3 linked regions of the Callithrix jacchus genome follow. The protein of the gene in region 1 purifies or fractionates together with the protein of each later gene. This does not show direct contact. Links are inferred from orthologs where the notes say so. Each region holds a gene or a part of one and is shown in the gene's direction. Other genes may lie near its edges.

What was found.
Region 2: the proteins of ATXN2L (region 1) and G3BP1 purify together in Homo sapiens (affinity purification with mass spectrometry; 4 studies listed by BioGRID and IntAct, with this or other methods). This does not show direct contact. The link is inferred for Callithrix jacchus from reciprocal best matches to the Homo sapiens genes ATXN2L and G3BP1.
Region 3: the proteins of ATXN2L (region 1) and G3BP2 purify together in Homo sapiens (affinity purification with mass spectrometry; 4 studies listed by BioGRID and IntAct, counting the BioPlex papers as one, with this or other methods). This does not show direct contact. The link is inferred for Callithrix jacchus from reciprocal best matches to the Homo sapiens genes ATXN2L and G3BP2.

What each region holds. Positions count from the first base shown.
Region 1 is NC_133513.1:29,119,635-29,127,045, reverse strand, and holds part of ATXN2L (ataxin-2-like protein), read left to right. Parts: intron 1-1,860; coding exon 1,861-1,952; intron 1,953-2,610; coding exon 2,611-2,811; intron 2,812-3,391; coding exon 3,392-3,567; intron 3,568-3,734; coding exon 3,735-3,845; intron 3,846-5,138; coding exon 5,139-5,351; intron 5,352-5,447; coding exon 5,448-5,519; intron 5,520-5,769; coding exon 5,770-5,840; intron 5,841-6,014; coding exon 6,015-6,310; intron 6,311-6,394; coding exon 6,395-6,464; intron 6,465-7,044; coding exon 7,045-7,191; intron 7,192-7,323; coding exon 7,324-7,396; intron 7,397-7,411. UniProt on the Homo sapiens protein: Involved in the regulation of stress granule and P-body formation.
Region 2 is NC_133503.1:50,739,349-50,746,026, forward strand, and holds the end of G3BP1 (ras GTPase-activating protein-binding protein 1), read left to right. Parts: intron 1-2,333; coding exon 2,334-2,540; 3' UTR 2,541-3,779; downstream 3,780-6,678. UniProt on the Homo sapiens protein: Protein involved in various processes, such as stress granule formation and innate immunity. Plays an essential role in stress granule formation.
Region 3 is NC_133504.1:122,501,063-122,508,473, forward strand, and holds the end of G3BP2 (ras GTPase-activating protein-binding protein 2), read left to right. Parts: intron 1-1,163; coding exon 1,164-1,266; intron 1,267-2,409; coding exon 2,410-2,538; intron 2,539-3,097; coding exon 3,098-3,216; intron 3,217-3,857; coding exon 3,858-4,130; 3' UTR 4,131-6,783; downstream 6,784-7,411.

The sequences.
Region 1 (7,411 bases):
GAAAGATATAGAAAATAGCAAACTAAAAACCTAGTCTCAGCTGGGGGCAGTGGCTCATGTTTGTAGGGCCATCACTTTGGGAGGTCAAGGCCAGTGGATCACTTGAGGCAGGGAGTTTGAGACCAGCCCAGACAACGTGACAAAACCCTGTCTTGACAAGATACATAAAAGCTAGCAAGGTGTGGTCGCATGTACCTGTAGTCCTAGCTATTTGGGAAGCTGAGGTGGGAGGATCACTTGAGACTGGGAAGGGTCAAGTGAGCTGTGGTCGCAGCAACTGCACTCCAGCCTGGCCCGGCCCTGTCACACATACACAAAAAAACCGAACTTACTCTATTACTATCTATAATTAACAACTGCTAACATTTGCATCAAATTATTTTTCAGCATAACAAAAAGTATAGATTACTGTATAGACCCATTTCTCTTCCCCAAATCAGCTACTCTGAGGGGTTTAAAATCTCTCCTGAGGCTGAGTGTAGTGAGCTCATGCCTGTAAGTCTCAGGTACTTGGGAGGCCAAGGAAGGAGGATCACTTCAGCCCAGAAGTTTGAGGCTGCAGTGAGCTGAGATTATGCCACTGGACTCCAGTCTAAGTGACAGAGTGAGGCTGTCTCAAAAAAAAAAACAAAAACCTCATGAATAGAGCTGATCATGGTGGTACACACCTGTAGTCCCTACTCAGGAGGCTGAGGTGCACTATGATTGAACTTGCAAACAACCACTGTGCTTCAGCCTGGGACCAGTGCGACCATCTGTTGAGAAACAAATGTCTTGTGAATAAATACATTATTGTTTTGTTATGTTTAGTTTGTACAAGAATTGGCTTTTTTTTCACCTTTTTTAATTTCTTGTGGTGCTACGTGGATCTAGTTCTTTGCTTCTATTGTTGTGTATTGTCTATATTTACATACGTATGTACGCACAGCAAATTGTATTCTTATCTGCATTTTGCTGCCATTATTTTGCTACTAACTATAGTATCTTACTGGACTTTTAGAACAGGTATTTCCCACGCACACGTGCCAGAATTTCTCTGGGATATCTTGGAAATAGAATTTTTAGGTCTTAAGACTTCTCAGTTTTATTGGTTATTGCTAATTTATGCTGTAGTTGTTAGTAGTTATTAACAATTGCAGTTAGTAATTACAATTAATAGTTGATTACTTTTGCCAGCCACATTCCTATTTTTTTCATTCTTGGTTTGGTCACTTTATTTTTGAGACGGGTGCTTTTTTTTTTTTCCTTTTTTTTGAGACAGGGTCTCACTCTTGCTCAGGCTGGAGGCTGGAGTGCAGTGGCTTGATCTCAGCTTGCTGCAACCTCTGCCTTCCAGGTTCAAGTGATTTTCCTGCCTCAGACAGTACTGCAAGCACATGCCACCATGGATGGCTAATTTTTCTATTTTTAGTAGAGATGGGGTTTTACCATATTGGCCAGGGTGGTCTCAAACTCCTGACCTCAGGTGATCCGCCCACCTCCCAAAGTACTGGGATTACAGGTCCAGCCAGTTGCCCAGGCCTAAGTGCAGTGGTGCCGTGAGAGTTCACTGCAGCCTCAAACTCCTGGGCTTAAGTGGTCCTCTCTCCTCAGTAGCAAGTAGCTAGGACTCCAGGCAGGTACCACCCCTCCTGGCTGTTAAATGTTATTTTTTTGTAGAGATGGGCTCTTGCTATGTTGCCCAGGCTGGCCTTGAACTCCTGGCCTCAGGGGATCCTCCTGCCTCAGCTTTTATAGGTTTCAGCCACTGTGCCCAGCCAATTTGGTCACATTTTGGAGTTTTTAACCTGATGGAAGGGAAGTGACTTGTCGTTGTTGCTTTACTTGCTGGATTTTAAAGCCGCCTTTCTTCCTCCCCAGTCCAATGGATGGGACCCCAATGAAATGTTCAAGTTCAATGAGGAGAACTACGGTGTGAAGACCACCTATGATAGCAGTCTTTCTTCTTATACGTGAGTGTCTTGGTGCTTTCCAGGTGATGTGTTGGGGATGTGGGGTTACTAAGAGAAGACAAGTTTCCAGGTAGAACTGTGCTCATTCTTCCCTGGGTGTCCAGGGTTGCTGTTTCGGCTCCTGCTCTGCCTTGTGGAACTGTTCCCGCAGAGGTTTTTTTGTTTGTTTGTTTGAGATGGAGTCTCGCTCTTTGTCACCCAGGCCTGGAGTGCAGTGGCATGGTCTCGGCTCACTGCAACCTCCGTCTCCCGGGTTCAAGTGGTTTTCCTGCCTCAGGCTCCTGAGTAGCTGGGATTACAAATTCCTGCCACCATGCCTAGCTAATTGTTTTGTATTTTTAGTAGAGACGGGGTTTTACCACATTGGCCAAGCTGATCTCGAACTCCTGGCCTCATCCACCCTCCTTGGCCTCCCAAAGTGGGATTACAGGCATGAGCCACTGCGCCTGGCCAAAGGTTTTAAGCATCTACGTGTTCCTCACATTTACAGATAAGGCTACCTGAGACGCAGTAGGTGCCTGTTAAACCCAGATATTGAGTTGAGAGGATTAAGTACTTAGGTACCTGAACTGGTGATCAAACTGGTTGAAATGTTTTTCCTTTTTTCCTCTTTGTCCCCTGGCACTGGGATGGTGGTGGTCTGTGGGTGCTGTTTCAGGGTGCCCTTAGAAAAGGACAACTCAGAAGAGTTTCGTCAGCGAGAGCTACGTGCGGCCCAGTTAGCTCGAGAGATTGAATCAAGCCCCCAGTACCGCCTACGGATCGCCATGGAGAATGATGATGGGCGCACTGAAGAGGAGAAGCACAGTGCAGTGCAGCGGCAGGGTTCAGGGCGGGAGAGCCCCAGCTTGGCATCCAGGTGACTGTCACAAATAGCCGGGACTGTCCTGGGGCCTGGGCCTAGAGTTGATGGATGTGTGCTGTAGTTTAAGCTTTGAGAGCATGTGAAATGTCACACATAGGTTTAGGGTTGAAGGTCCAGCAGGGTGATATAATTGGTCCAAAGTAACAAGGCTGAATGAAGCTTGTAGATCTAGGAAAAGAAACATTTCAGAACTTTGGTTTACTTTCCCTTTTTTTTTTTTGGTATCCATTTATATATATGTGCTATTTCTTTTTATAAAAGTGAAATATAACTACATTATGTGTGTCTTATAGAAGCTCCCCCTGGAACTACAGTGTGATCTTACCTTTGTTATAGGTTAGGAGTTGTAGAATTGTGGAGCACCGGCCAGGTTGGTTGGCTCAAGAGTTGATGTCACATAAGATCATAAGCCACAGAACATTTAACTAGGGCAGATCTTCAAGTGGGATAGTGCTAGAGCCAGGCAGTGTGTATGTTTGGGTCAGAGGTGGGAGACTTTAGAGGAAGAAATGGCTTCGTCTTTCCAAAACATGGGTTTTGTGGCTACCTGGCCTTATTTGAACTCTTTCCTCAGGGAGGGGAAGTATATCCCTCTGCCTCAACGAGTCCGGGAAGGCCCCCGGGGAGGAGTTCGATGCAGCAGCTCTCGGGGCGGGCGGCCTGGCCTTAGCTCTTTGCCACCTCGTGGCCCTCACCATCTGGACAACAGTAGCCCTGGCCCAGGTTCTGAGGCCCGTGGTATCAATGGAGGTGAGTTATGAGGTAAACTTGGTGGGGCAGGGAAGAGGATGCCGAGGAGGTTGGGAGGGTAATTGCAGGGGTTTGGGTGGGTTGCAATGATGCTGCATTGGTAGGAATGTAATGTAGCAGGTTGTCTGCTGCTTCTGACATTTTCTTCATCTTAAAAAAAAAAACAGGCCCTTCCCGCATGTCCCCAAAGGCACAGCGGCCTCTGAGAGGTGCCAAGACTCTGTCTTCGCCCAGTAATAGGCCTTCTGGAGAAACTTCTGTTCCACCACCTCCTGCAGGTAAAGCCTCAGTAGTGTCGGATGAAGAAATGAATAGAAAGAAACTGATAAATTTCATCAGTTTTATAAATTGATAAATATGTCAGTTGTTACAATGGTGGAATGGGAGATAATTTTAAGATAGATGTTTTGGGAGTTTGGGATTTAGTCATATTGGGAAAGAAATCTTCAGTTTCTCTGGTGCAGAAATCTCAACCTAGCAATCCATGGGTTATGTCTGCTTGGCAGACATCTTTTGAGATTTGAATCAGTTGCTGACTTTTGTGTGTGTGTGCGATGGAATCTCACATTGTTGCCCAGGATGAAGTGCAGTGGCGCCAGCTCACTGCAACCTCCACCTCTTTAAGCGATTCTCTTGCCTGAGCATCCCCAGTAGCTGGAATTACAGGTGCCTACCACGACACCTGGCTCATTTTTTTTTGTTGTTATTTAGTAGAGACAGGATTTTACTATGTTGGCCAGACTGGTCTCAAACTCCTGACCTCGTGATCCACCTGGCCATTTGCTAAGTTTTTAAAACGGGCCAACATGGGCAAATTGCTTGAGCCTAGGAGTTCAAGACCAACTTGGGCAACATGGCAAAACCCCATCTCTACAAAAAATTTAAAAATTAGCTGGGCATGATGGTGTGCACCTGTACTTTCAGCTACTTGAGCGGCTGAGGTGGGAGGATTGCTGAGCCTAGGAGGTTGCATTCCAGTCTGAGGAACAGAGCAAGACCCTTATCTAAATAAATAAACGAAATAATAGAAACCACAGAAAATTTTTAGTTTCTTTTGAATTACAGGAAGTTCTGTCAACTGAGCTTGCCTTGCTGCATAGCTTGAGTTGACTGGGACAGAATCCCAGTTAACCCCCTTAAGCATCCCAGTCAGTGGGGCGGGGTGGATCACCTGAGTTCAGGAGACCAGCCTGACCAACGTGGCAAACTCCATGTCTACTAAAAAAAATATACAGAATTAGCTGGGTTTGGTGGTAGCCACCTATAATCCCAGCTACTAGGAAAGCTGAGGCAGGAGAATCACTTGAACCTGGGAGGTAGAGGTTGCAGTGAGCCAAGATCTTGCCGTTACGCTCCAGCCTTTGCAACAAGAGTGAAACTCTGTCTAAAAAAACAAAAACCATTCCAGTCACTGATGATGCCTACCAGGCCATTTACCTGCTTATGTTACCTGCTTTGGCCTTCTAGACATTTAAGTTGGTGACCCTAGGTGTATAGTGTGTAAACTTTCTTGCTGATTTGAGTACGGCCCTTGTACTTACTACTGTAGACCAGTAGTAACCATCCCACAGCTCCTCCTTTTCTTCCAGTGGGCCGGATGTATCCCCCACGTTCTCCCAAGTCTGCTGCACCTGCCCCAATCTCAGCTTCCTGTCCTGAGCCTCCCATCGGCTCGGCAGTGCCAACCTCTTCAGCCTCCATCCCTGTGACCTCATCAGTCTCAGATCCTGGAGTGGGCTCCATTTCCCCAGCTTCTCCAAAGATCTCCCTGGCCCCCACAGATGGTAAGAGCTAGGTGTTTGAGTGCTGTGGATGCATGTTGAGTATGATGTGTGGTTCTGGACAGAAGGACTTTTGGGCATTTCTCTCTCCTTGCATAGTAAAAGAACTCTCTACCAAGGAACCTGGGAGAACTCTGGAGCCCCAGGAGCTGGCTCGGATAGCTGGGAAAGGTGAGGGTGGTTTTTTTTTTTCTGCTGAGGACTAATGCTCCTTTGTCTGGGGGAGAGTATTTTAGTTAAGTTTGTTGGAATTCAGAGGCAAACAATGTTTATCAGCCCATAGATCGCAATTTCACTTCTGTGATTCTCAGGAGTTTCTCCTTTTTTCTTTGCTAACTTGTCCTCTATTCTCTTGGCACTGCGTAGTCACCTTAGAGAAAGAATGTGTTGTATTTTCTTCTATTTCACTGTTTTCTCGTAGTCCCTGGTCTTCAGAATGAACAGAAACGATTCCAACTGGAAGAACTAAGAAAGTTTGGGGCCCAGTTTAAGGTGAGAGAACTGTGGAAGTGAGCTGGATGTTGGCAGGTTAAAGGGGTTAGGGGTGCTTCATAGATGAGGCAAAGGACTAGGTAGGGGTCAAAAAGATGAAATCAAGGATGAAAGAAGAAAGCAGTGCCTAGGGTCTAGGTCAGACTGGACCATGTATGTATTTCTCCCTTCCAGCTTCAGCCCAGTAGCTCACCGGAGAACAGCCTGGATCCTTTTCCTCCCCGGATCTTAAAGGAGGAGGCCAAAGGAAAAGAGAAGGAGGTTGATGGTCTCTTGGCTTCAGAGCCCATGGGGTCTCCTGTCTCCTCCAAGACAGAGTCTTTATCGGATAAGGAGGACAAACCACCCCTGGCACCAGCAGGAGGCACTGAGGGGCCAGAACAGCCCCCACCACCTTGCCCAAGCCAAACCGGCAGCCCCCCGGTGGGCCTTATTAAGGGGGAGGACAAGGATGAAGGCCCTGTTGCTGAGTGAGTGGAGCATGCTGGTGCCCTGGAAGGATGGCAGGAGGGACGGGAGCAAGCCGTGAAGATTTACTGTACTTTATTTCACAGACAAGTGAAGAAATCAACGTTGAACCCCAATGCCAAGGAGTTCAATCCCACAAAGCCTCTGCTGTCTGTGGTGAGCTGGGATGGGAAAATGTGGACTTTGGTTTCTGTGAGGAGACTTGGGCAGTGCTTATAGATGAATAGGGGGAGTGCTTCACTTCCAGGACCACTTGACTAGCAGGCAGTGTGAGGAGATGTCATAAAAATGTAAGGATGGCAACTTTGGGGCTGGCTTGGGGAAAGTGGACTCAGTTCTCCAGGGTTGGGTGACCAGAGATCCCAGTGAGTCTGACGAGGAGTTAACAGGTTTTTCTTTGGTTCTTGGCATTTGGCTGAGGGAGTATTAAGAGTGGGGTAAGAGTGGGGTAGTCATGAACAGAAGCTCTATTTGGGCCAGCTAACTTGGCTTAAGCGCTTGTATTTGGAAGGTTTGTGATCTTGGACTTAAATTCTTAAATTTCACTTAAATTCTCCGCCTCACCTGTAATTTGAGAATGCTCATCTCTCAGGGTTTAGTGCGAGGCTTAACCAAGATCAGTGCAGAATGTGTTTGGTACCCAGCATTTCATGGATGCTGGCTGTTACTACTGAAGGCATGGCCAGGAGTAGAAAGGAAGATACGAAATAAAATTGTCTTCCCTTGTTTTTTGCAGAATAAATCCACTAGTACTCCAACTTCTCCGGGGCCCCGGACTCATTCAACTCCCTCCATCCCGGTGCTGACAGCAGGCCAGAGTGGGCTATACAGCCCCCAGTACATCTCCTACATACCTCAGATCCACATGGGACCAGCTGTGCAGGTATGCGGAAAGATTGACTGGGCCCAGGGTTAGGGGGGTGGGATTTGGTGGGGCTGCCTGAGGGACCATGTCAGGCCTGTTCTGGGCATTTGTGAGCAAGTCATTCAGCCTCCTCTGTGTCCTCATCCCTAGGCACCTCAGATGTATCCATATCCTGTATCTAATTCAGTGCCTGGGCAGCAGGGCAAGTACCGGGGAGCAAAAGGTGAGCAGGGCTGGG
Region 2 (6,678 bases), on another chromosome or scaffold:
TGGTATACTGCTGTTTTTAGAGAATAACTATTAAGAGCTTATCCTTTAAGTCAATAAATTGGGTTTGGAAGATAAATTATGTAGTCACCCTACTTGGAACCACCCTTATTAACAGTACTCTTACTGCGTACATCCTAATAATAGAGGAATTTGTGGAATGGGAATCTTACGGTGGGATCCCCAAAGAAAGCTTCCCTTCCCCTGCAAAGAACAACTTTTTGTAGTAGTAGAAAAGAACAAGGGTATAAATAATACTAATTCATTAAGCTGTACTTTTTTTATTGAGGTGAAATTTACATAACAAAATTGACCATTTGAAAATGTACAACTTAATTGCATTTAGAACACATTGCTTTGCAACCATTACCTCTAATTCCAAAAGATTTTTACTAAAAGCCATAAGCTCTCTACTCGCTATGCAGTCATTCCTTGTACATGTCTCCCCAGTCCCTGGCAGCCACTAATCTGCTTTCTTCCCTGTGGATTAAAACTATGTACTTTAAGCCATATAATAGAAACATTGCAGATCAGTGATATTCTCCAGAATGTTAATGGGCATACTGCTATTTTTTTTTTTTTTTTTTTTTGAGACAGTCTCGCTTTGTCTCCCATGCTAGAGTGCAGTGGCATGATCTCGGCACACTGCAACCTCCACCTTCCAGGTTCGAGCAGTTCTCCAGCCTCAGCCTCCTGAATAGGGGATTATGGGCGTCCACCACCACACCTGGCTAATTTGTTGTGTTTTTAGTAGAGATGGAGTTTTGCCATGTTGGTCAAGCTGGTCTCGAACTCCAGACCTCAGGTGATCTGCCTGCCTTGGCCTCCTAGAGTGCTGGTATTACAGGGATGAGCAGCCACGCCTGGCCATATTGCAAAGTTTAATGTTCGGTTCATAACATTATGTCAACCTTAACATGCAAATGTATGTTATCTTTCGAATTATTTGACCACATATTTTTGTGAAGCATCTCCTGCAAAATACTGTTTGAGAAATGAGAGAACAGTGGTTTATCTCACCAAAGCCAGTGAAGAACCCAGAAATGTCTAGTAGGCTTTGTAGATAAATCCGTCATTCAGCATGTATTAGATCTTGTAGCCACCCTTCATTTCATGGTATTTATAGAAGTGTACTATGCTCTTTTCAGTAATTTTTTGTGTGAGCAAAAATAGCTTATGTCAAACTGATTGCTCTGGTATATGACATGCTGTAGTGTAGCTTTGTAGTTGAAAGCGTATTTTTCCCAATCTGGAGGCCTTGGTTTACGTTCTTCTTCCATCACTTATTATTGTGGCCCATGGGAAAAGTTCTTTAACCTCCCTAGCCCTTAGTTTGCTAGTTCTTAAAGTAGGTATCAAGCATCAGAGGGTTGTTGTAAAGGTTAACCGAGCTAATTAATCTGAATAGAACACTTCAGTGACATATAGTAAATACTGTTAGATACTCATTTTAAGAAAGTAGAAAATTATATTGCTGGTAAAGAGCATGAATTGAATTTATTGAAATGTTTGGTAGCCTGTTAACTGCATTGGCTCTGTTAGGAGGAAAAGAAGACCAAGACTATTCGAAATTCTTAGAAGGTGAACAGCAAGTTAAAGTTTGTCAAATCAATGAAGGTTTTATTTGAAATGTATATGTACTTTGCATAAATATGTGCAGTGCCATCTTTTCACATTGGTGATGATGCAGTTTTATTCTAGGCCTCCACCATCTGTGGAGAAGGTGGCAATTCTTTATTCAATTTACGTAATTCTATGAGAAAACAAGTACTTGGGAGGCTGGGGCAGGGAGAAGTGTTTGAACCCGGGAGGTGGAAGTTGTAGTGAGCGGAGATCTTGCTCACTTCAGCCTGGGTGATAGGCAAAACTTCATCTCATTAAAAAAAACAAACAAAGCGGAACTGTGAGAACTCAGTTGATGTATAATCTGCTGGTTCTTTTTTTTTTTTTTTAAGGAGACGGAGTCTCGCTCTGTTGCCCAGGCTGGAGTGCAGTGGTGCGATCTCAGCTCGCTGCAACCTCCACCTCCTGGGTTCAAGCAATTCTCCTGCCTTAGCCTCCTGGGTAGCTGGGAATACAGACATGTGCCACCATGCCTGGCTAATTTTTGTATTTTTTTAGTAGAGACAGGGTTTCATCATGTTGGTCAGGCTAGTCTCAAACTCCTGACCTCGTGATCCTCCCACCTTGGCCTTCCCAAATGCTGAGATTTACAGGCGTGAGCCACCGCCCCTGACCGCTGCTGTTTTGTTTTGTTTTTTTTATAGCTTTTTTAATCCTCTGTTGTCATAGCCAGCTTATCAGTACTCTAAGTCTGGTCACCTTGATTCTTACAGCCCATCATGTTCAGAGGTGAGGTTCGTCTGAACGTGGAAGAGAAGAAGACTCGAGCTGCCAGGGAGGGGGACCGACGAGATAATCGCCTTCGGGGACCTGGAGGCCCTCGAGGTGGGCTGGGTGGTGGAATGAGAGGCCCTCCCCGTGGAGGCATGGTGCAGAAACCAGGATTTGGAGTGGGAAGGGGGCTTGCTCCACGGCAGTGAATCTTCATGTATCTTCACGGAGCCATACGAACCCTAGTTCCTACAGAATGGTGAATTTCTTCGACCAGCCTTTGGTATCTTGGAGTATGACCCCAGTCTGTTATAAACTGCATAAGTTTGTATAATTTTACTTTTTTTGTGTGTTAATGGTGTGTGATCCCTCTCTCCTTCTCTTCCCTTTCCTGCCCTTTAGTCTTTCACTTCCAATTTTGTGGAATGATATTTTAGGAGTAACAGATTTTTAAAGAAGAAAAAAAGAAAAGGACTGAATTTCCTTGCTTACTTTGCATATGCAGACTGGACTTTTTTTTTTTTTTTAACAGCCATTTCCCCAAAGGAATGTGTCTTGCATATTACTGACATTTGGTATGTTTCATTCATTGGAATATTTCTTATTTTCTACAAGTTTCAAAAGCCTGTGAGACAAACAGGATTTGATAACATTTTGAAGGCAGGAAAAACCCAAATTGTTTCTTCTTTGAGAGTCATGGCTTCTTTCTGGTGTGGAGAAATTGCCATTGGAAAATTTGACAGTTTTGATTCTCACTGGTATGTTTAAAAGGAATAGAATTTTCTTTTGATAGAGGATCACAAAACAATTCTAAAACCTACTGTTTTTACCACTGAAATTTAAATTGTGATATATAGGTTTTAAATGTCTAGAATGCAGCTGATAGGCTTTTCATGAACTTAGTTTTTTTGAAATAGAGTTTTTTTTCATGTTTAATTTGTATTTGTAAAAAAAACAAAAAACAAAAAAATTCCCCAAATCCAGATAACAACCAGAGCAAAACTGTTGTGCCTTCTATTTATCTTTGATTTCAGTCTTGGCAGTTGTTTAAAGAAAAATAATTAAAAAAAAAATCTAGATTTGTTTATTATTAGGTTCAGAGTATGTGGGGAATTGTAGAATCCCTCTTTCATCAACTTACATGTCTTCTGTTAACCTATTTGTTATGCCTTATTCTAAAATTGAGTCTCAAACTGGAATGCCTTTGAAGACAGATGCTTCTATAGAGGTTCTTTGGCCTAAGTAGTTCAGCATTTGTATTAAGTTTTATTTTGGTATCTAATCAGATTCCTAATCATAGCCCATAAGAAGGAATGTGACTTTAATATTGGACTTTGCTGATGTGCTCGTGTAAATTTTCTATTTTGTTATGGTTCTCTTATTGATGGGCATGCAGTGGGTGTTTCTTGGAAATGGCCAATTTTTATTAAAATATTTCTGGAAGAAAATTTAATCTGGCAATATAGACTAATACTCGTTTCACATATGTGTTGTTTGTTGAGTGCTGTGTGTGAGATGGGTGAAGATTTTGTTTACAAGTGTGAAGCAAGCCTTTGTGTGATTACTTGTCATTACTAATTGAAGGGCAACCAGGTTGTCAAAGTCACTTATTTATTTTCTTAACAGTATTCATCTTGAGGACTGTCATTTGAGGATAGTATAGGAATATTTGCATTATTGAGAAACTCTAGGTTTGCTCTGAAGGGGTCAGTTAAGACTGAGAAACTCTAGGTTTGCTGTGAAGGGGTCAGTTAAGACTACAGTGAAGTTGGTGTTACTAGTTTGGTTCCACTTCCTCAAATATTTGAAAATTGGCAGCATCTCCTTTACATAAACATAACTGAATCACATGGCTTTTCTGGAGGGTTAGTTTAAGTAACTTTGGTAACCACTTTGACCCAGATCAGTGATAATAGGAAGAAATACAACTTGTACTTTTGTAGCTTATATTAAGCATGTGGTGGGTGGAAAAAAAAATTAGTTATGGTAGCTTTAAGGTCATAAATTATGGATAACCTAGAAATTATTCTTCACAAGTGAATACTACATTATACATTTCAAAACAGGGCATTAACTAGATGCAGCGATCCTCAGCTTGGTGTTAGCACATTCTAGAGAACATTTGGAAATGTGTGAGATTTGGAAGGGTTGTTGGAGAGACATGCATCTGGCATTTATTGGGGGTAGGGTCTAAGGATACCGAATGTTGTGTAAAAATGGAGCAACCCCATTAAGAACATGGATAGTCGCTCTTCCTATGGGTGGGTGGAGCTGTGGGATTAGGAAAACAAATGAAGACTCATCCTTTTGAAATTCAGTCTCAGTTAAATAACAAACTAATTAGGAAATAGAAATCTGTTTCAAGAATTATAGTAACATCTACTCTAAGTAATTAGTAATTTCACTTTCCATTATTTGTACCAAGTGTATGTGTGTTGTGTATGTGTGTGTATAAATGTGGAGAGGTGCAGCAATACATGCTGATGCTGCTTGTAACTTGCGACAGGGAATCACTGCACAGTCTCAGAAAATAAAAGGCTTCCCCAGTGATTTCAGTCATCAGAGTTGGGATGATTGTGAGGTTTTGAATGATAGTATTGGACCCAAGAAATAGGATTAGCATTATGGTCAGCACTATGGGGAATCCTTGTACAATTAAGTACATGATTGCATGTAGAGTAAACATGAGAGCTTAGAGATGTATACGTTTCCACTGCTGGAAAGTGAATATAAGTTAGGGCAACATTTCCTATAGGTGGCAGCTGTAGGAGCTCATCACATTCAATATTTTCAGATTTTAAAATGAAATTTTTCATCTGTAGGAATGGCCCAATGTATAGATACATTGAGCTTAAGAGTTACTGAGCTTAGAACGCTTGACCCATGAGTATTTTTATTTTTACAGAGGCAAGGTCTTGCTATTTTGTCAGGCCGGTCTCAAGCTCCTGGCCTCATCAGCCCTCCTGCCTTCCAGATAGCTGGAACTATAGGTGTACAGCATTGTACCTGGTTTCATGAGTATTTTAGCTAGGTAAAATTTGTTTGGTTCAGTGAGTCTTAGATTTAAGACCTGTTGATTTATAATGAGAGATCTTGGGCCTTAAAGTATATTTTTGTTTTAGTGGTGAGGTTGGGCTTTACTTTGTATATTCCACTGTTCTTAATTTTGTCAAATATTGCTAGGGACCAGTGAGATGGATAATCCAAAAATAATAATTTGACTTTGGTTGAGTATGTCACTACCACAGTGTTAGTTGATTTGCACTTTAGTTTTAGGTTAGAAAAGTTAATTTTCACATTTGTGCTGTGGATTAGTTAATGTTATCCTTAGCATAATAGATGAGGAACAAACTGAGAGCAGTGAAATGACAGACTTTCCAGTCCTCCATGTAGCAAGGAGCATATTTGACTCCCAAACAAATACTTTTTCTCTAGAACCATAATGACCCCCCAGTTACGTTTCAGTAACATAGACCGTAATGAACTTCCTACTGTAGGGAGACTTGAGTTAGGAATACATTCGGAATAGGGTTAACATTATAGTTCTTAATTTTCTTTAGGGGAGACAAGATAATTAAACTTGGATTTTGCCAGTCTTTTTTTGATTTGCAGATTCTGTATGGTAACACAGTAATGGTGGTTTGTTCTTAAGTTTTTTTCTCATCTGGTTTGATAATTTAGTGCAAACTTGAAATCTGGATGTGGATAACAATATTTTTATTATAGCATAATCCAGGTGAGTTTACAGAATTTGTATTTTGTGCTAATCAACTGTGACCTGATAATTTTCTTCATCCCTCTATTGTAAAACCCTTGTTAGAAGTTAATGATTTAATGGAAAATGTTGCACTTTATAGAAATCCATTGTAGAACTTACAGGTAACATTTCTATGGAGCATAGATTTGTAGACCCCTGTATGCTGAATGACATTTCTTTTAAATGGTTGCATTTGCCAATCTACTTCTGAAGATGTCTTTTATATTACAGTTTTCTTTTTGTGCTACTTTAGAGAATCTCTGCAGTATTGCATACAGATGAGATAATCATTGACCTTTTTAGTTCAGCAGTTTATAACTTTGCAGAAGAAATAACACCAACGTTTATTTGAATATCAGGTTTTAGCTAACTTCCTAATGTACAAAAAAAAAAAAACAACTTAGCAATGTCTTATGTGGAATGAGGGGTTGAATTAAAGTTGCTGATCAATTTGGCCATGTGGCACTAGATGATAACTAAATTAAGGATTTCTGGTTCTAAGGTAGTAATGGCTTTTGGGATTATATTTGTTTAATGTTGAGGTTCTGGGGACCATAGGTGGGCCTGTCAGCTCTTAACAGATTATAGTA
Region 3 (7,411 bases), on another chromosome or scaffold:
GGAGTTAATATCTCTTTTTTGGTAACAGTGGCTGAAATCATTTACATTAAATTCTCATTTTTGAAAGAAGCATTTTTGTATCAAAATTTGTCCTTGTAAATTACACTATCTGTTGTATAATTAAAGAATTTGAGCCACTGCATGGACTGAGGTCCTCAGAGATGACCATCTTTAAATATGGAACTGAAATTACTAGCTTTCTGATTTGAGGACATGTTTTCCATATCCTGTTGGGTATTTTCAGCATCCTTTGTAGGTTCATCTTATTTTGTGTCTCCTTGGACCATAAATATTTGGGTAGTAGAAGGTCCGAGGAAGTTGGGAATACTGAAAAAGCTGTTGTCTTGAGGGAAAGGTAATAGCAGATGCCAATGTAATTTTGTTTTAAAAATAATTATATGTTTAATTCAGCAGTTGGCAGAAACTTTTGGTAGGCATCTTAAGCTGTTCTATTACTCCCAGCCTCCTAGTTAGGGAAAATCACTGGGGCCAATACTTCAAATGTGTATTTTTCTCTTAAGAAAGAACAGTAGGGAGTTAAAGGAGTTTGACTATCTGAGTTGCTACATACAGGTTTCTATAAGTTTCTGTTATCTTTTTAGCATGCATTTTAACTTAAGGTAGCAATTTTAGGTGTTAGAGCAAGCTAATTTTTATACTTTGAACTACAAAAATACTGATTTTAAGATTATGGGCAGAGATTTAGGCAATACTAATGAGCACTATTACATTTGAAGGACAGCAAACTAGATTTTCAGAAATTATGTGTTATGGATTTTTGTCTTAAGATAAAGATGGCTTTTAATTTTGTTTATTTACATGGAGTGGTTCATCTTGCATTTTTGTGATTTTTTTTTTTTTTTGGTAGCAATACTTTTTATGCTATTTCAGTATTGATACAACTTTAATGAAAAAATATAACTGTAAAAAGCATCTTATTGTGAGTTATACAGCCTTGAGTGGGAAAACAAAAGCTACCTACAGTCCTAGATTGGTACAGAATATCTTGATAAAAATTTATTTTTCATATACATAGGACACTATGTTAAAAACATTCTAAACTTAAAGCTATCATTATGTCTACTAGAGACTTGTTAGTTGCTTTAGTTGATTTTTCTCCTGTGGAGTGTTTTTTACAATGTGTTTTTTCCTTTATATTTTAGCCAAGAGTTGAAGCTAAACCAGAAGTTCAATCTCAGCCACCTCGTGTGCGTGAACAGCGACCTAGAGAACGACCTGGTTTCCCTCCTAGAGGACCAAGACCAGGTGAGTCAGCTCTGCCTTTAGCATTTAACATTTGTAGGGTTGGAAAAGACTGAACTTTAAAAAAACCCAAAAACTATGATGTGTTCTGTACACAGACCTGTATAGTATCAAATTGCTTAAAGATGTGATGTGAGCAACCTGCTAAAATAGTATCTGTGGTGAATAACCAGTTTTTAGGGAGGATTGGTTGACATGCAATGGAGACATGTTTTGAAGGAGTAAAAGACTTAAAATTTATTTGGTTATTGTCACTGGTTTTAAGAATTCAAAACCAAGCTGCCAGTAACCTACTCTCTTAGCACTGTCTCTTCACAGATAAACAGTAAGCACACCTAGATTCTTATTTTGATTTTTAAGTAAGTTGCCATGATTTTTGACTTGTTTACATAGTTAGCTATACATGTAATACCTTTATTTGAACTGTATAAGAATTTTTAGATTGCTTTTGAAAGGAGATGGGAGAGATGGAGATAGTGACTATCACATTTACAATGTTTTTTGTTTTTTAAAGTAAACTAGAAGTTGTAAATTTGTCACTGATTAAACTTAGGATCTTGAGTGAGACCTTAAATTCTGAGCTTTTGTGTCAAACATTACACAAATTATTCTTGTGTATGCCTCACTGTGTTCTGTGTTATTGAGAGAGTCAAATAAGATTTTATTTATATCTATATACATATACACTTAAAATGTATAGACTACATAAATGTGATAATTGCTGTTAAAATTTATTGATTTTGCTGTAATGTCATATAGCCAAATAATTTTGAATTTCAAAAGACTAAGCAAATATTTAGTAGTCTGTACCTCACTATCTGAAGTCTGCTTGGCTCCTGGGTGATGGCAGCAGTTTGGTTAAGGAGGAATACCTGTAATACTAATACTTGATTTTTGTATAATCAGTCTAGTAGATCTAGAAGAAGCTATTTTAGCAACCTAGTCATTGTCCTCACTTTACATTTTAGTGTCATGCTGTTTTCTAACCTACTAATAATAGGTACTTTTGCCTCTTTTTCAAGAAGCTCACCTAGTCTTATTAAGCTAAAACAGGAATATCAATAGTAAGTGATTTTTACATTCATTCCTTTGAAGTAGTTTTTATGATATTGTAAACTTTAATATCTGTTCTATTTCTCTTTTCAGGCAGAGGAGATATGGAACAGAATGACTCTGACAACCGTAGAATAATTCGCTATCCAGATAGTCATCAACTTTTTGTTGGTAACTTGCCACATGATATTGATGAAAATGAACTGAAAGAATTCTTCATGAGTAAGTGATTTATTTTGCTGTAAGTTTTTAAATCATTTTAAATTAAGCAAGAAGCATATAGAGCTTTTTCAATAACTACTTTTTAAAAAATGTTTCTCTCTATACTGTGTCCAGCTACCAGTCTCACCTCAATTGAGAGGAAGGGAGTAGATGACTATATCAGATGTTTCTCCGTGACTGCTTAGTGTTGACTTGGTCTGGCTCAACAGAGTTTAGAAGATAAATCAGACTGGATAAATCAGTCATAAATTCAGAGATAAAGGATTCATTTGGCAAATGGGTCAATATATTAGGAGAAACTACATTGTCTTTCCAAATTATGCAGTTAACTTTACTTTTGAAAGGAGTAACAAAGATGCAGAAAGGCAGGCAGGCTACTTGGTATCTTAGGTGACTGCCTGCTTGAATAAATGTACCTTAGCTATCACTGTGTGTGGAAGCTTGCGAGTTTTCTTTTAAAATGGATCAAGGAGATAAGATTATTCATCCTGAACAATTACAGCCATCAAAGTATTCTGTTAAAAATATTTAACTCTTGATGTAATATATATTTTCACAGGTTTTGGAAACGTTGTGGAACTTCGCATCAATACCAAGGGTGTTGGGGGAAAGCTTCCAAATTTTGGTTTTGTGGTTTTTGATGACTCTGAACCAGTTCAGAGAATCTTAATCGCGAAAGTAAGTGATTTAAAGGGCATATTTCAAGACTATTATTTCTGTTGTATATATTAATTTGGGGTATTTAAAAACCATAGAGAATCTTTTAATAGTAAAGCTAAAAATAGTTAATTATTAAAGAGTATTTATGCAGTGAATAAAGATTTGTTAGCAGTTTTAAAGTCTTTAAGATGTGGATTATTTAAATTTTGTTACTTGCTTTGCTGAAAAAGGTGGGAGAGATTGCATGTTAAGAATTTTCGTAGGTTATAGTGGCTCACACTTGTAATCTCAGCACTTTGGGAAGTTATGGCAGAAGGATTGCTTGACCCTAGCAGAGTTCAAGACCAGCCTGGGCAACAATGAGACATCATATCTACCAAAAAGAAAAAGTAGCTGGCTGTGGTGGTGGACACCTATTATTATCCCAGCTACTCAGGAGGCTAAGGTGGGAGGATCACTTGTGCCCGGGATGTCATGTCTGCAGTGAGCCATGATTGTGCCACTGGCTGTTCACCAGCCTAGGTTATAGCTGAGACCTTGTCTCTAGTGGAGTGGGGTGGGATGGGGGGTTACGCTTATCTAACTTATCTGTTCAGAGTAATACATTTCTATTGCTGTCTAACTTGCCCATGTAAATATTTTTCTCCTCTTTTATAAAGCCGATTATGTTTCGAGGAGAAGTACGTTTAAATGTGGAAGAGAAAAAAACAAGAGCTGCAAGAGAGCGAGAAACCAGAGGTGGTGGTGATGATCGCAGGGATATTAGGCGCAATGATCGAGGTCCTGGTGGTCCCCGTGGAATTGTGGGTGGCGGAATGATGCGTGATCGTGATGGAAGAGGACCTCCTCCAAGAGGTGGCATGGCACAGAAACTTGGCTCTGGAAGAGGAACCGGGCAAATGGAAGGCCGCTTCACAGGACAGCGTCGCTGAAGCTCCACTGTTGGCATAGTCTTGGCAGTGGTACAATATTCATCGTGTTTGCATTCTTGTTAATTTTTTTTTTGGCTTTGGAATGTGACACAGCCTTTTTGATCATTTCTTTGATGTGAAAAGCATCTTTTGGTTATCAGTTAAATTGAGGTGGACATTATTACCCCAGTTTCACAACAGGATTCACATTGTTAATTTATAAATCTAGACTTGGAGAATTAAGGACTGAGAACTGACCATATTTTAAACTATCTACGACAAAGTGAACTTAAAAGGACATGCCCACTGAATTCAGGTCCTTTGAGTCAAAAAAAATCTTCTGCTGCACATTTTGTTTAAGTGTTACTGTTTCTGCCTGTTAATTTTGGGAATACAAATAGTGCAATTTGTGCAATTGGAGAATCTTGCCTTTTTTCTTGGCTCCCCTCAAAAATACAAACCAACAGAAACTTATTATGCACTCATCAAAATGCACTAATGGGTACTCTGAACTCATTAACATTGACATCTGCAACAGGTGGCAACAGGGAAAAAAATCTTTCATCTTCTTTTCCAGTAGAGAATAGTTTGTGAAATGATGAGGGCATTTTATCTGCTTGCTGTGACCAGCGTGTGTACACATAAACCTTAACAAGACTACAAGTATATTCCAGAAGGAAATCATTTTAGTTATGAACTAAATAACAAAAAATAGAACTTCAAATGCTATGGTCTTGACTATTAGACCAGATTTAGTAGCTCCATATCTAAGATTTTTCTACCTGCCCCTCTTCAGTACAGGGATGGCTGGCTGCTCAACACACTCCTCCTCCCCTTTTTCCTTTCTTTAAGCTGTGTACAGTGATAATTGTCTTACTGTATTTTTGTTCTCTGGTAATGTAATAAGCATGATGGTGCCTTCTATTAATACATCATTCCAGTCTTGCTGGTAATTTTGTACAGTATAGTGTATGAATTGCTGTGCTGCAAAGCCAAACAGCTGCAAAATGTTGAAAAATCATCGAAATGTATAAAAATTGCAGTATCTTTAAAATCAGTAAAATGGACTAGCATATTATTTATCTTGTTCTTTAGTTAACAACTTTGTGTTCTCTGTGGGAGGGAGGGAGTCCTGTGTGTTTGTGGGGAGAGGGAAGGAGGAAGTCAGTTATTTGAGTAAGTGTCTAGTTGACTTTTCTCTTGGCTAGAATGTGGACGTTGAAACGTATCACTTCAGCGCTTGGAAATGTCAGTCAGCTTGATGTACATTTTTAGTGACATTTTAAAAGCAGTCAGATTCCATAAATGGCAAGTAAGCCTGAAGTGAGGATACTGCAATTTTCAGAGAAAAGAACAGCAGCTCTTAAGTGTTTGCATTTTCTATTTGGGGGGCAGGGAACTGTCATTCATTTTGCACAATTCTTGAACTGATGTCAGCACCCGAGTGGCTCCTGAATTTAAGTCTGGGACGACATCTTTTATTTTTACATGAATCTTTAAACAATTCTGTGAGCAAAGTTTGTAGCTGCTGGATTATTGTCTGTCTTTATAGCAAGTTCCAGTAAACCACAAGTATGGCAAAGCTTATCCAATTTTATACTTGGAGCAATCAGTAAATACCAGTTTCTGATGTTTCAGGCAGGAAGTGAGGTAAATAAGTGTGACCACTTAAAGCTGCTCATTAGCATGGAAGACTTCTCCGTTCTATCTTTGTAAAACAAACAAGATATGCACTTGACATAGCAAATTGGTTCTGAATTATGCAACTGTTTGCTATTTAGTAAACTAGCAAATGATGGATGTATTTTGTTTTTTATGTACTGGGCAATATGAGTAAAATCTGTCTCTTTTTTCCCCTTTGAATGAGGTCTTCCATGTTTGAGGAAAAGTCTTGCACTATTGGATATATTTTGGGGACGCAGATTTTCATCGTTTCCATTTTGGGGGGCTTAAGGATTCTTTTTTTGTTTGTTTGTTTGAAACAGTTTTATACTTTCTGATGTATAGTACTTGAAGTTCTTACCAGAAAATTACTTTGGAGTTTTGAAGCCTTTATTAATACTACTTTCAAAGAAGCAGCTGTTTTATTGTCAATGTTTTTTTCGCCCCAAGCATATTTTCCTCTATTCTTCTATTTCTATTTCCCATTTTTTATATATACACATATATAAAATTTCCAATTCAGGATATTGCCCTGCCATCCATGAAAACTGTTCTGGCACCAAAAGTAATGACAAATGTTAAGTGTAATAGAAAAGTAGAGCAAAGAGCCATTCAGCTTCAGTCTTTACATACCATGAATAAAACATTAAAACATCATATGGAGAAGTTTACATGGTGATTGTTCACCTGCAGTACTGTGGACTTTTAACATTTTGTCCTCTTTTCAGTGAACCAGAGTAAAAATATTCATCTACCATTACTGTTATTTGCTGATTTTTGTTTTATTTTTTGATGGTAATATTCTATCCTTATGACACTATTGCAACCAAATTGGCTTTACCATCTTGGCTTTAGTAGGTATAGAAGACAATGGATTACCATCTTTATTGCTGTAATGTGTTAAGCATTATATGCTAGTAGAATCTAGTTTAATTGTTTCAGGTGGAAAGTATTTTGAGTTTCCATTTTGAATGTGTTTGGACTAAACAATAAACTACTGATGTCTGCAGCATTTATCTATGTCCCTAATTTAATCTATAGTTCTTATGTCCCCAGATGTTTTCTCCCAGTTGCATTTCATACAGACTAAGTGGGAATAATAAGAAGTTGGGTTTTAGAACAATTTATTTGTGAAATTTGATATATGAAAAAAGTAAAACATTTAAGTAACACTTGATCATTGTAAGAGATCTACCCCAGTCCAGTTAGACAGCTGGTATACAGGTTGAATGTTAGAAGAGAATAATAAGTAGTAAGAACAGTGAGAATGATTTAAAGTAGACTACAATTTTGGATTTTCTAAAGTATTTCTGCCTTGTATCTCACAAGGAAAGGAGAAAGGAAGGGATGAGAAGATTGAGGTTACCTGAAGTTATGGACATGACTCAAGTTCAGAAACTGAAACTAATTTATTAAGCTCTGCAAGAATATTGATGTAATCAGCCATACTTAGTCATGCTTTCAATGAAAAATGAGGTCCTAAAGCGTGTAATTTTAGAACCTAAACGGGATGATACATTTGAATTTTACCTGACATTAATAACACTTTAAGATTCCTAAATCAGTCTTCACAAATTTGTACTGGGGAGAAACCAGAATAACTATTGCTTAATCTTAGTGGGGAAGGAAGAATTAAACCT